2 linked regions of the Tamandua tetradactyla genome follow. The protein of the gene in region 2 interacts with the protein of the main gene of each other region in a pairwise test. Links are inferred from orthologs where the notes say so. Each region holds a gene or a part of one and is shown on either strand. Other genes may lie near its edges.

Region 1 (6,928 bases), on a different chromosome or scaffold from region 2:
TATGTAGGCGCGGGGGACGGAGTGGGGCGGGGGCAAGGGCCATTCTAGCTGATGACTCCTTGTAAAAAAGGAACTCCACTGCAGGGATGAAGCACCACTCTTCTTGCCACCACTATAAGAGCCCCAAATTGCCACCTCACATTAAAGCTGACTTAAAGTGTTACTTTTTTTCTTTTTGGAGGGGTTGGGGAGTGGAGTGGGAAAAATGCAGGAGTGACTGTATAGTATTTTCCGAATTTTGTGCCCTTAGCTCAACATTTGGATGAGAGCTTTGGGTACAGTTAAAGAGCAAGAATAAGTAGATTTGGGAGTCCCGTGTTAATTTAGGGTATTCACTGAAAGCAAGAAGCTTTAGTATACCAGTGAGAACCCATACACATGCTAGACCATGCCCTTCGTCCTTTACGTTTAGTGATGGCCACCTAAGACCTCAGGTTAAATAGAGGGAGAGGGAGATAGCACCTTAAAGAAACTTTACTCACCTTTCAGCAATGTGGCTACACGTCTTTAATGGTGATGAGCCAGATACATGGAGATATAAGGCATTTTGAAAACTAATAATAATACCCCTTACTGAGCACTCAGTATGTGCCAAGCTTCATCAAATTTAATCTCCACATCAACTCTATAAGGTAGGGGCCATGAAAACCCCATATTTCTCATAACAGACACAGATAGGTTATATACCTACAATTGCAGAGTAGTATCTGGCAGAACCAGATATCCCCACATCTCATGTTTTAAGTCACTCAACTTAAGTCTCCTATCATGGCAGGTTGCCATTTAGAGACCCCAAATATCTGTCTGCTCCTGTCTCATGCCACCTAGCCTGACCAGCATTGACCAAGGCCAAGCAAGGGTAGTGATCTCTCCTTTCCATTTTTATTCATGACCAGAACAAAGTTTGCCCTGCCCCTTCCCTTGTCTGCACTAAACTGTGAGCTGCCAGAGTGAACTCTCTCTCATTCTCTATTTGGTGCACATCTTGTCTCCTGAAGTGACTGTAAGCACCTTGAGGGCAGGGGTATTTATTGAATACTTACCGTGTGTTGTATTCAGTGCTGGCGTGTTACGGGCTTGAGGGCCCGACATTCCTGGGTCTAAATCCTCTACTTCCCAGTGGGACTGTGCCACTCCTGGTCCCATTAGGTCCAAGAAATGCATGGGGAGGACCTAATCCTAGAGGAGGGTAGGACCTGGTGTGTGTTGGGGGAGGGGGGTTTCTGAGGAGTGAAACCACTTCCTGTATAGCTAGTTCCTGTGTTGACAGTGTTGACAGAAAGAGCTGAAGGGGAGGTACTGGTAGAGGGACAGAGCTAGGAGTTGGGGAGGAGGGGTTCTGAGTCTTTGGGGATGAGACCAGAAGTCCTTCCCCCACTATAAATCCCCACTCCACTCCTGTAGCTGGAGGCGCTTTCCCTGGACTCAGTGCTCCCCTGAGGAAAGAGAGGTCGAGCAAGCTGTTTGAGTGGGAAAGGAGAACTGGAGGAAGTTGACAGGGATGGGCGGGGCCCATGGGGGGTGCTGACCAGGAACCCAGCTGCCTGTTCATAACCCAGGCATCCAATCCCCAGCTCACCCCCACCCCTTCCAGCCCCCACTCCTCTCTGGAATCCAGGGTCCCAGCCCGCCTCCCAAATCCCAGCCACCCCTCCCCCATCAGTTTCTCCCCTCCAGGGGATGGAGGCTGAGAGACTCCAGGAAGAAGAAGATGGTGAGCAGGTGAGCTGGGCCCTGTGTGGGGGAGGCTGACACTGGGGGAGAAGGGAGGTGAGAGGACCTGGGACAGAAGGAACAGGAATGGAGACCCAAAGAGAGGAAATGGGCCGCCAGCCTAGCCCCCTGCCCACCCCACCCCTTCCACCCAACCCTGCTTGACTGGAACGGACATCTCTCAGCATCAGGACTCCCCCCAAGATGAGCAGGGCTGGCCCCCTCTGAGCACCACCAGTCGGCCCTGGCGATCTGCTCCTCCGTCCCCTCCTCCTTCAGGGACCCGGCACACAGGTACCTCCAGCCTCCCAGGGAGCCTCCCAGCCCTGGTGCCCACATTCTCCCTGACCCCATTACCAAGACTCACTCCAACCTGGGCTCTCCCCCTGCCTCCTCCTGACTCCCTATCATACCCCCTCAGCTCTGATCCCGAGTCCCTAAGCACCTCACGCTGTGCCCCCAGCCCATCTGCCGACCCCTCTGGTCTCTCAGCCCTCCCTCTCCTCTCCCTAGCCATGGGGCCCCGCTCGGCCTCCCTGCTCTCCCTGCAGACGGAACACCTTCTGGACCTGGTGGCTGAGGCCCAGTCCCGCCGCCTAGAGGAGCAGAGGGCCACCTTCCACGCCCCCCTGAAAACTCCAACCTCAGCCCAGGCTCTGCCCCGGCCACTTGAGGACAGAGAACAGCTCTACAGCACCATCCTCAGTCACCAGGTGAGACACCCCCAGGAGGCAAGACCCAAGCCTCCTGGATCCTTGGCCTCTGTTCACTTTCGGGTCCCATCTTCCTTCTCCCCAGGCATCTGCCTTATCGCCAAGTCCCTAGCTCCCCCCAAACCATCCCCAGCACAGGTGTCCTATATGCCCAGCACAGCCTTGGCACCTCTTAAGGCCCCCCCCCCCCCACTCCTCCAGTGTCAGCGGATGGAAGCCCAGCGGTCAGAGCCTCCCCTCCCCCCAGGGGGGCAGGAGCTCCTGGAGTTGCTGCTGAGGGTTCAGGGTGGAGGTCGAATGGAGGAACAAAGGTCCCGGCCACCCACCCACACCTGCTGAGACTGTGGACCCCAACAGCCCCCTTCACACTCCCGGGGCACAAACCTGGTCAGCCCACTGCATGCCCTCGACCCTGCTTGGCAGGGGCACCAGAGACTGAAAGGCCCTCAATATTCATCCGTCTCATCCACCTTCCCTCAGAACTGGAGGGGGTGAAAGTTCTCAAACCCTGGGAACAGGAGAAAGGCAAGGTAGGATGGTCATTTAACTCTTCCCCAAGCACAAGGAAGCTTGAGGCAGTGAGAAGATCCCGGCCAAGGAAAACCCACCCCCTCTTCTCATGTGGCGAGAGCTGTGGGGACACCCCAGTGGTGGAGCTACTAGGCAGGGTTTGAGAGCTCAGGCTTCCACCTCCCAAGGCAAACCTTGTGACCGGAGAGACGGCGCTGCCCTCCTTCCCAGCAAGAAGAAAGGGAGGGTGGATGGGCCTGGGAAAGAGAGATTAAGCTTGTTCTCCCACCCCCACCGCTATCACCCTCCAGCCCAAGGACTGAGGGGCCTACAGGCTGTGAATGGACCATTAGCCCTGCCCACCCTCTCTCCCCGCTGCTGCTCTGAGTCTGATGTTTTGGTTGTGTGAATAAATGTAATTCCCTTCTGGACTGAAGACTGGTGTTTGAGGGGCCCGGGTGGGGGGTGAAAAGGTGAGGTCAGAGGCTGTCTCCTTCTCCCAGTTTGGCCAGAAGCCAGCTCCCCTCCCTGGCTGGTTAATTACTGGCTCATTAAGCAGCGACTGGAGACCTCCCTAATTATCCCCCCCACCCCCCCACCCGCTCCTGGTTTTAATTAAGTAGAACAGGGAGGGGAGTCATTAGGACAAGAAATATGTACTGAGCTGTCTGTGAACCCAGGCATTCCGGCGGTCAGAGACCCCATCACCCAGAACCCTGACTCAGAACCTAGATGGTAGGACCCCAGCCCGCGACACGCCCCCCTCCCAGGCCACAGAAAAACCCAGGCTTCCCCCCCACTGGGACAGTCTCCTCCCCTCCAGCCCTCGTCCCTCTCCCCTCCTCCACTCGGTCTCAGTTCCTCGGTTTCTGTGTTTCTCCGCCCCCAGCTCCTCCCTGTTCCTCTTCTCTTCTCCCCTCCTCTTCCTCCCTGACTCCCCTCCCCCAGCCTCCCTCCTTCCCTCCCCCCTCCTCCCTCCTCCCTCCCTCTCTCTCTCTCTCTCACACACACACCCCCGCTTGGGCCTCCTCTCTCTCTCCGGCTCCATTTTCTCCGCCGCCGGGGGCCGGGGTCTCCTGTGGGGACCCAGCCGGTACCCCAGGTCTCCCTTCAGGGCCGGGGTGAACCCCCGGGGGAGCCCGGAGGGCGGGGGAGACGGGTGGGGGTGGGGGCGGAGGGAACAGCGGCCCCAGCGAGTTTGGGGGGGAAGTAACCAGGCGGGGGGGAGGGGCAGAGCAGGGAGGGGGCCCCAGGGGCCCCCCCCAGCTATGGACGAGCGGCTGCTGGGGCCGCCCCCTCCAGGCGGAGCCCGGGGGGGCCTGGGATTGGTGGGTGGGGAGCCCGGGGGCCCCGGCGAGCCTCCCGGTGGCGGAGACCCCGGTGGGGGCAGCGGGGGGGTCCCGGGAGGCCGAGGGAAGCAAGACATCGGGGACATTCTGCAGCAGATAATGACCATCACCGACCAGAGCCTGGACGAGGCCCAGGCCAAGTGAGTGCCCCCACCCCGGGACCCTACACAGACCCAGCAGGACCCCCATTCACAAGCTCTGAATCTTCTGGGAACCCCCTAACTCCAAGACCCTCACCGGAATCCTACAGCTCTCTTCTCTCCTTACTCCCAGGAGCCCCGAGATAAGTGATCCCTCTTAAACGTCCCTTCACCCCCAGACCCTGAAACCTCCACAGAGGGAACCCCAGATGATCTCACCACCATCCCCACCCCTACAACCTCTCACTGACCCCCACACTCCCCTGGAATATCCTTATCATCCCCCTGAACCTACTTCTGGCTCCTAGGCTGAAAAACTGCTCCCTGGCAATGTTGTCCTCTTTCCTAACTCTCCACCCAGCCCACCCCCACTTTCTTCAGACGTGGGGACCTTTGCACCCCTCTCCAGAGCTCCTAACACTCTCCTCTGCTCAGTCGAACACTAGGTGCATCAAATCCCCCCACCTCTCACCCCGCTCTGCTCAGTCCCGGGACCTATACACATACACCTATGTTGAACTCCCCACTTCAGCTTGGCATCCCCCAACCCCTCTCTGACACCCTTAAACTCTGACTCTTCTCCAACCCATCCTGCATCTCTCTTCCCCTAAAGTCTATGCTCGTTTGTCCAGTGATCCCCCAAACTCCTACTCCAAACTCTTCCTCGAATCATCTTCCAAAGCCCCCAGCCCACCCATAGCTTCTCGAGCTTCTTGCGCTTGCTTACATCTTCCCCTTATCTTCCTGAAGCCAAACAGCTGCCCCATATCTCCATGCTCTCCCAACTCCACACACACACACCCCACCTGCCCCAAACCCACTTCTGTCTCCCTTCTTAGAGATTTATCCACCTCTCTCCCTTAGTTCCCAGGCTCCCCTTTCTCACCCTCAGGTCCCCTGCTATTTCTGTAGCTCTTCAACTTTTCTCTCTCATTTCCCCCCCCCCCCCACATTCCTCCCAAGGAAACACGCCCTAAACTGCCATCGAATGAAGCCTGCCCTCTTTAGCGTCCTGTGTGAAATCAAGGAGAAAACCGGTATGTGGTCCCCTGTGACTGCTCAACTCTGGGGACAGGACCCTGTTCATTATAGGATTCTGGCTAAGACCTTGACAACTTGGGGACCTTGAGGAAAGTGGGGACTTGGGGAGGTTGCTAGAGAGGGGACCAAAGCCTGGAAATTGGGTTTCCTGGAGGCACCAGGAAGGCTGAGAGCTGGGTGTGGGGTCCATAGGTCCCTAAATCCACTTCTCTGCATGTTAGGGCTCAGCATCCGGAGCTCCCAAGAGGAGGAGCCTGTGGACCCACAGTTGATGCGCTTGGACAACATGCTTCTGGCAGAGGGTGTGGCTGGGCCAGAGAAAGGGGGCGGTTCAGCGGCAGCAGCTGCAGCCGCTGCAGCCTCCGGGGGTGGCGTGTCCCCTGACAACTCCATCGAGCACTCAGACTATCGCAGCAAACTTGCCCAGATTCGCCACATCTACCACTCGGAGCTGGAGAAGTATGAGCAGGTGAAGAGAGGAGGCTGGGATGGGTGGAGGGAGAGGCTCGGGGTTTGGGGGACGAGTCCTGTGGCCAGAGGGCTCCTCCTCACCAGTCCAGTGGCCCCCACTGCAGGCGTGTAACGAGTTCACGACCCACGTGATGAACCTGCTGAGGGAGCAGAGCCGCACACGCCCTGTGGCACCCAAGGAGATGGAGCGCATGGTGAGCATCATCCACCGGAAGTTCAGCGCCATCCAGATGCAGCTCAAGCAGAGCACCTGTGAGGCCGTCATGATCCTGCGCTCCCGCTTTCTGGATGCCAGGTGGGACCCAGGGGACCAGGCCAGGCTTTAGGTCTGGGCTCCTTCCCATGCCTCTCTGGGACCTTGGGCCATCACGTTGCACAACGCTGTACCCAAGAGGGTGCCCCGAGAGTCGTACAACATGGCGACCCCGCCAGACCAGCACCTCCTCACCACCCTTCTCCCTCCCCTGTAGGCGGAAACGCCGTAACTTCAGCAAACAGGCCACCGAGGTCCTAAATGAATATTTCTACTCCCACCTGAGTAACCCGTATCCCAGTGAGGAGGCCAAGGAGGAGCTTGCCAAGAAGTGTGGCATCACTGTCTCTCAGGTATTGCGGGTGGCCTGGGGAGAGGGAGTTTTCGGATGAAAAGGTCTCAGATCCCATTAAAAGAGGAGCTTCAGAGGGAAAGATTTCCCCCAACCCTTTCTTATTTCTACCCAATATCCCGCAGGTCTCCAACTGGTTTGGCAACAAGCGGATTCGCTATAAGAAAAATATTGGAAAGTTCCAAGAGGAGGCAAACATCTATGCCGTCAAGACTGCCGTGTCAGTCACCCAGGGGGGCCACAGCCGCACCAGCTCCCCGACACCCCCATCCTCCGCAGGTGGATCCCGCCACCACTCTGCCTAGCTGTTTTGCACACTTCCTGCTTTTGTTCCCACTTCCTACTAGGCAGAATCATAGTAGAGAGAGGGGCCTTTTGGGGTGAGA
Region 2 (7,356 bases):
AAACACTGTTTCTGCCCCTTCCAAAGTCCCTGAGCTGTGTTCTGTGAACCAGTACTTCAGGGAAACAGGAATTTTAAGCCATTTCAGACTATACATTTGCTTAATTTCGTGCTGTGGATTTTCCAGAAACCATCACTTTAAACCTCAGAAACAAGGGGCTGTTTGCTGAAGGCAGGCGGCAGGCTGGGTGCTCCGACCAGCAGGACCAGGATGGCAGGCCAACAGGGTAGGTATACTGAGGCTCATCTGACAGAAAGAAAAGCAAGGCCCTGGGCCAGCAATCGTAGCCAGGCCTGCTGGCTAATTCCATCAAAGGACTGACGCTCCCTGCCCCGAAATGTTTTACAATGTCCACCAAATGAACTTTTTCTAAAGTATATTACCACCTTGAGGGCCTTCTTAGAGTTTTTGCAAAACCCAGAGTAGTCACCATTGGGGAACCCCACGTGCCTACTGCTACTCCCACACCTGCCATGGTCACCTGTACCATCTGTGCAACTATTCTACTCGTTTGAGGAAGATAAAAGAGAAGGGCACCTACATTTCCCATGAGTAAATAGACTTATAGTGCAGGGGCTCTTTACTTGGTATCTGTGACCTGGAATGAGAAAAACTATCAGCTGTCTGTGTGCACTAAATGCCAGCTGAAAGGCTGTGTTCTCCAATTACAAACGCAGACCGTAAATGCCACAGCTTTAGGAGGACCTGGGACTCTTCCCCTAAGAGAAATCACAGGCATTTTCATAAAACATTAAGTTGTTTCAGAAATTTCAAAATATCAGTTATGCTCATCAAACTCCAAAATTATCAGATCTGCTACTGGATCTTGTCACTTGGTGAGTTAATAAAGAGCACGGTACAGTAATTTATCACCAATGTGTTTTCCAATATTTTGGTAACTGTATTTTTCAGTGGTAAGTAGCTTCCTTCTTGATCCTTTTCATTTTAGTGTTTCTCTGAAGAGACAGAAAGAAGCCTGAGGGAGGTGGGAGGGAGAAGTAAAGTTTAGGACACCCCAGGGGGCACACTTTGCATCACTTTAGCAGTTTCAGGCCTTTCCTTTTCTAATGTTTCAAATGCAATTATGCAACAAAAGTGAACGTTGTAAGTAGAAAGCTACTATTCATATGTAATACTATTCTAAACAGTTACAATACAGTGCCTGGGTTTAAAATATCTATAAAACAGAGGAAAGGAATCTCAAAAAAACACTTTGGCCCTGGTGTCATTAACAACTAGTCTGTTAAATCACAAGCTTAAAACGCAAGTCATCTTTCACCCACCATGATTCATCAATTCCAAAACACTTAAATCTCCGAAATTTTGTGGGGCTCCTTCAAAGGAAAGCACTGTCAGCGGTATCATTCTAGCTGCATACACAAGAGACTCATTGTCTCTTTGAGTGGCAGACTCAATGAAATAAGCGAGCCAGATATCACCCCCCACCGTAAGCAAATTCAGGAAAAATAGTAAAATGGGTGGGGGGGCAGATCGGAGGCAGCCTGCCTCGTCCAGACCACTGTACCTACCTGAGATTCAGGACATTACCGAGATCTACACTGGCAAACGTACAGTTGACCTCAATTCTTGCTCTAATATTTAGCGAAAGCCCCTAAAGTTACACTTAACTACCGTAAGGGGGAAAGCAACCCCTTCCTAAGGAAATTCGGTCACTCTCATAAATCAACGAATGCTTATACTCTAAATAACTACGTTAAGCTGCTCTTACATGTGACAAATCTATTCTGGAGCGCTGCAAGCCTGCGCCCATGCACCGAACACGCACTCCCTTCCGACCGGCCTCCGCAGGGGCCAAGCATCACAGAGGGCCTCCCAGCGGGTCTCGGGCACCATCAGGAACCGGCATTCCAGGAGCCCGCGGGAGGACAGAAAGCAGACTCGAGCTTCTCAAGCCTTTTCAGGTGACTCACGATTCCTCCCTAAAGGAACGCCCGCGAGCCGCTCGGCCAGGCCACTCCGGACCCTGCGGTCATCCACCCCAAACTGACGCCGCGCCTCACACCTCTGTAACTAATTCCACAAGACCAGCCCGACGCTCCGGCGGGACAGCCCCCAGTGCGACCCCCGTGCACCACCCCGCGCCCCGAAAACGCTCGGACCCGGCGGTGGCCGCGGGCTGCATTCCGCGCGCTCCCAGGGCCGCAGGCCAGGGTGGGACGCGAGGGGAGGGGGAGCAGGGGGGAAGCTGAGAGGAGGCGACCTACGAGGGGGAAGGGCCCTGCGAGGAGAGGAGGGCTGCGAGGAGGGGGGCTGCAAGGAGAGAGGCACCGCGGGGATGCGTCCCGACCTCCGCCCGGCGGCCGCCATCTTCCCGCCCCCACCCGCGCGCGAGCCCGCGACCCCCCCCCACCGCTACGGGGACCGCGAGGCTCGCGACCCGCCTACACCCAGGCCCGGGCCGGCGCGCGCCCCCGCGGGCCTCTCAGCCAGGCCCGCCCAGCCCGCGCGCCCCCGCGCGCCGCCCGCGCCTGGCGCGCCCCCGTGCACCGCCCTTCCACCCCCGCAGGGGCGCGCGCCGCGCTCCGAAGGGGACGGTTAGGAGGGCGCGCCTCGCAGCGGGCCCAGCGTGGCGGCGCCTTCCAGAAATTTCCTCCCACCTCAACCCTCACTTAAAAACAAACTCGGCGCGACCCCGAGTGGGTCCCGGCGTGGACGGCGCCCCCGCCCCGCCGCCGCCCGCACCCCTCCCCCACCGCGCCCCCCTCGCCCCTGCCCCGGGGCGGCGGGTCAAGTGCGGGGGCCTGCTTGGCGTCCCGCCCCGCCGACAGCCAGGCGTCGGGTGGCGGCGGGGCGGCGGGGCGGCGGCGGCCGGTGTGATTGATAGGGACGGCGGCGGCGGCGAGCGGCGGCGGCGGCGGCGGAGCGGTTGAGTGACAGCTTACCTGGGTGCCAATCTTCATCACACTGACAAGCGGCTGCAGCAATCGGGACCCGCAGTGCCGCGCCCGCGTCCAACCGTCACGCCGACGCCGGGCCACGCGACACAGCCTCGCTCAATGGGAGGAGGGCGACGCCGACGCGCGCAGCATCAATATTCACAGAGGGGGCGGGGCCTTCCAGCGACGCGCCCCGCCCCGCGCCCTGCCAGACGGCGGGCGGGGGCGGGGCCTGCGCTGAAGGGGCGGAGAGCGCGCCGGGGGCCTGGTCGGCGCCGGCCCCACCCCAACTCGCGCTGCAGCCGGGCCACGCCCCCTCCGGCCGAGCGGGCGCGCGGGAAGGCCCGCCCCTCCCCGAAGGCGGAGATACCCGTCATGACTATGCAGATGAGGGCGTGGCCTCCAGAGCGTGCCGCGCCCCTTTGCCTGCCACCGCAGCTCGTAGTTGCTGCCCGGCCGAGAGCGGCGGGCGGGGCGCAGATGGGCGAGACTATCTTCCGCGGTCGGGGAGGGGCCAGGGCTGGACCGCGGGCGGCCGGTAGTGTTCCCGGCCCGCCCTCTGAGCCTCCGCAGACCGACGCGTCTGTCCGGGCCCGCTGTGCGCTGGGGACCTGGGCTGGGTCCCGCACCCCGCGGCCCTTTCCGGTCTCGGAGGCCGCGCGCCTGCGCCGGAGTCGGGGCCGTCGGAGTGAGCACGTGCGCGCTGCTGCGGAGCCCGGGGCCGGGGCCGGGGCGGAGGTCGTGCGGGCCTGCGGACTAGCCTCGGCCCACGCAGGCCCGGGGGCTCAAGGGTCCCGGGCCGGGAACGCCGTCTATCCCCAAGGCGCGGGAGCTTCGAAGAAAAAACCCAAACACATCTTCTTTGCATATTTTCGTTTAAGTAGCCAGCCATTCCTCCTGCTTTCCGCCGAGTTTCTACCAAAGATCTGTTACTCTTTCCCCGAGGACCGTGTTCAGGTGTGTGAATTAAAAGGCCGTGTGTAATTGTCGGTGGGACTAGGCGCGTAGAATTCTGCCTCTCATCAGTTGCACTAGGTACAAATTATAGGGCTAAAAGAACTGTCTCGGCACTTAGATTTGCAAAACGGGTTTCCAGAGCTCATTGACGTGATTTCATCTAGAGATGAGCAGTCACATCTTTGTGCTCCTATATTTATCCTGATATTTCCAGCCCTTGCCTCACCAGAGAGGGATTCCAATCCTACCTGTGCTGGGCCAGTTGAGCCTGCCCGGTGGGCCAAACAGGACGGGCACCGCGCGGGTCGTGGAGGGTAGGCAGGCAAAGAGGCGGAGACGCCTTGAGGGGCACAAGAAGTGACTGTTGCCTAGTGCCAGCCTTGGCGAGGGAGCACCCGCTCTGGGCCCGGCCTGTCCCAGGTGTTGGGGGTCTAAAGAAAAGGAGAGACTGGACCGTACCCAACGCAGGTGACCGCAGTCCGGAAAGCAGGCTGTGACCCAGACCTGGCCAAATTCCCTACATGCTGCTTGGCCAGCTGGAGAGGCGGGAGGGGCTGGGGGAGGGCATGGCTGTGGTTGTTCTTAAGGTGGGTGAGGAGCTGGAGGGGCGTGGATAAGAAAAATGAGCAAGACAGCCATGTAAAAGTAAGGGTTTGGGCCTGGTTTTCAAGGCAACCACTTTGGTTAGCTAAACTGCTTGGGTTTGCAGAGGTGTGTGGGGACAGGAAGTCATGAGCCATGAGTGGGGTGGATGATCCTTTTAAAAATATGACCTATCCAAAGAGCAACCCAGGGAATCTTATGAATGACCCAAAGCTTAAATTAGACTTGCCAACTTTTCATTTTGCCATAGTAGCTCAACCCCAGCTGCCCTGTCCCTGGCCGGCTCTGCTGCAGCCACCACTTGCCTTGCTGCTCCTTGGTCACACCAGGCTTGCTGTTCCCTCACCCGAAACACTCTTCCCAACGGCACCTCAGGGCACCCTCCCACCTCCCCATAGCCTTGGTACCAGTATCGCTTTCTCAGAAGATACTCACTGTAGTTTTCTAGGCTTCTCAAGCAAACACCAGGATATGGGAATTTATTTGCTTATGATTTTGAGGCTAAAAGAAAGTTCAGATCAAGCCATATCAAAGTGATGCCTTCTTCCTGAAGACCCACTGATAGGCCTTCTTGTCTCTTGTGCCATGTGACACGGCACCCAGTGGCCGTGGCTGCTCTCTCTCTACTTTTTCGAGTTTCATTGATTTCAACTTTTTGCTTCCCATGGCTTTTTTTTTCTCTCTCTCTCTCTTTCCTTAGCTGAAGTAACCTTTCTAGGACATGGTGGGTACAACTAGTGCTACTACAAGTGCTAGGGAACTAATAATGCTGTGTAACAAATGGCCACAAACTTAGCGGCCTGGAACGACTTACACTGTGATCTCATGGCTTCTCTGGCTTGAGATCAGGGCATGGCTTAGCCGGGCGCTCAGCCACAGGGTATCCCCATCAGGCCACAGACAAAGCGTCAGCCGGGCAGGGTGAAAACGAATCTGTTTCCAGGCTCACCCATGGGCAGGGGTCAGGTCCTGCGGCCACTGGACTGCGGCCTCGTTTCCCCCAGGCCGCTGGCCATTCTGAGGCCCAGCCACGCGGCCTCCACACTCTGCAGCTGGCAGGACGTAAGGGACAAGCTTATGTAATCACAGAAGTGACACCCCATCCTTTCTCTGTATCCTGAGGGTTAGCAGCAAGTCCCAGGTCCCGCCCACATGCAGGGGGAAGGATTGCTGAGAGCGTGAGTGCCAGGGAGAGAGGGCCCTGGGGGCCCGTCCCACAGCCTGCCCACCACAGGTGGCGTTTTTTTCTGCTGTGTAAAAGAGGCAGTTGTGATGGAGCCAGAAGAGCCTTGGGCCTGGAGTCAAAAGTCCTGAATGTCAAGAGAGCCTGGCTTTGCTGGTTACTGAGCTCCAGTTTCCTCCATCTTCAAATAGTGATAGTGCGGCTATCATGGGATTGCGTGGCGGAGGAAAGGAAGTGGCGGGTGGTAAGCACCCAGGGCCCAGTAGACCCTTGGGGGTCAAGGCAGCTAATGCCGTCAGCTTCGCTTCCCCAAGGACCCCATCAGAGTGCAGCAGGGAAATGGCAGTGCAGCCAGATGTGAGGTTTATCCATGTTAAAAGACAGTTAAAAAAGAAGTCATGCCTCCCATACAGATATAAAATGAACACATGGCATGAATTTTAATGAATTCATTAATTAAATGAGGGAACAGGAAGCTGTTGGAGCCGACTTAAAGGAGAATGCAAAGAACAATAAGATTTATGGATCAGGAATATTGGCATGCACTTGCCAATTGTGCAAAACTGGCCTTTGGGTGGGAGGGTTGGTGAGGCTGGGGCCAGAGCTTGTCCCTCCTCCATTCAGAACCCATTTGCATGTCCACAGACAAAAATGATTTGCATTATCCTCATTTCTCTCCAAAGTCAATGAAGGGCTACAATCGGAGACCCCAGAAGAGTGAGCACTCAGGACTGTGGGGTTCCCCTCTCTGGGGGACGGAAATGTTTGGGGAATGGAGGGTGGTGATGGTGGCACATCGTGAAGATAATTATGGTCACTGAATTGTGTACTTGAAAGAAGTTAAAGTGGGAAATGTTAGTTTGTATATATGTTACCATATATATATACCACAGAAGAAGCAGAAGAATGCCTACTTGCCCACTGGACACACTTAGTACTATTTTTTGTATGTGTATTCCAAATTTCCTACAGGATCTTGGGGCCTAGTGGTTGAGGAAATCCTAACCTAGAAGCACAGCTGACCAGGCAGGACTGTCAGGGAAAAGAGGTCCTGCGCTTTGATCAAAGCACGTGTGCCGGTTTGAATCTGTTGTGGACGCCAGAATAGCCATGTTCTTTAATAATCCTCATTCAATATTGTTGGGTAGGATCTTTTTTATTGTTTCCATGGAGATATGACCCACCCAGTTGTGGGTGGTGACCTTTGATTAGACGGTTTCCATGGAGATGTGTCTCCTTTCTACCCATTCAAGGTACAGTTGCTTACTGGAACCCTTAAAGAGGGAACCATTTTGGAAAAAGCTTCAGAGTCACCAGAACCAACAGAGCCCATGCAGGAGAGACCTTTGGAGATGAAGAAAGAAAATATCCCCGGAGAAACTTCATGAAATGACAAAAACAACAGAGAGAGCCAACAGAAGCTTTAGGGTCAACAGAGAGAGCAGAGACACGGATGTTTAGAGATGCTTGGAGCCTAGCAAACATTGCCGTGTGTTTTCCCATGAAATGTTAAGCCAGCCAGAACCTGCAGAGAGCCAAGGGAAACCAAGAGTTGAAAGCCAGCCCCAGGGAAGCAAAGTGGAGACCCCCACATGGACAGAGACTGAAAGCAACAGAGCCCAGAAGCAAGGGACCAGCAGATGCCAGCCACATGACTTCCCAGCTGACAGAGCTGTTCCGGACAGCATCAGCCTTTCTTGAATGAACGTGACCTCT

The links. The genes of interacting proteins can lie anywhere in the genome.
Region 1: the proteins of PKNOX1 (region 2) and PBX2 interact in binary tests that used the Homo sapiens proteins (3 or more experiments, as listed by UniProt). The link is inferred for Tamandua tetradactyla from reciprocal best matches to the Homo sapiens genes PKNOX1 and PBX2.

Annotation. Positions count from the first base shown.
Region 1 is NC_135331.1:87,700,026-87,706,953, reverse strand, and holds the start of PBX2 (pre-B-cell leukemia transcription factor 2), read left to right. Parts: upstream 1-3,901; 5' UTR 3,902-4,204; coding exon 4,205-4,425; intron 4,426-5,388; coding exon 5,389-5,462; intron 5,463-5,687; coding exon 5,688-5,935; intron 5,936-6,041; coding exon 6,042-6,232; intron 6,233-6,407; coding exon 6,408-6,543; intron 6,544-6,667; coding exon 6,668-6,821; intron 6,822-6,928. Other genes in the region: NOTCH4 (neurogenic locus notch homolog protein 4), read left to right, coding at 1,678-1,691; GPSM3 (G-protein-signaling modulator 3), read left to right, coding at 1,681-1,722, 1,899-2,007, 2,227-2,426, 2,628-2,765. UniProt on the Homo sapiens protein: Transcriptional activator that binds the sequence 5'-ATCAATCAA-3'. Activates transcription of PF4 in complex with MEIS1.
Region 2 is NC_135336.1:100,391,420-100,398,775, reverse strand, and holds the start of PKNOX1 (homeobox protein PKNOX1), read right to left. Parts: upstream 3,033-7,356; 5' UTR 2,904-3,032; intron 2,063-2,903; exon of another isoform or gene 1-2,062. UniProt on the Homo sapiens protein: Activates transcription in the presence of PBX1A and HOXA1.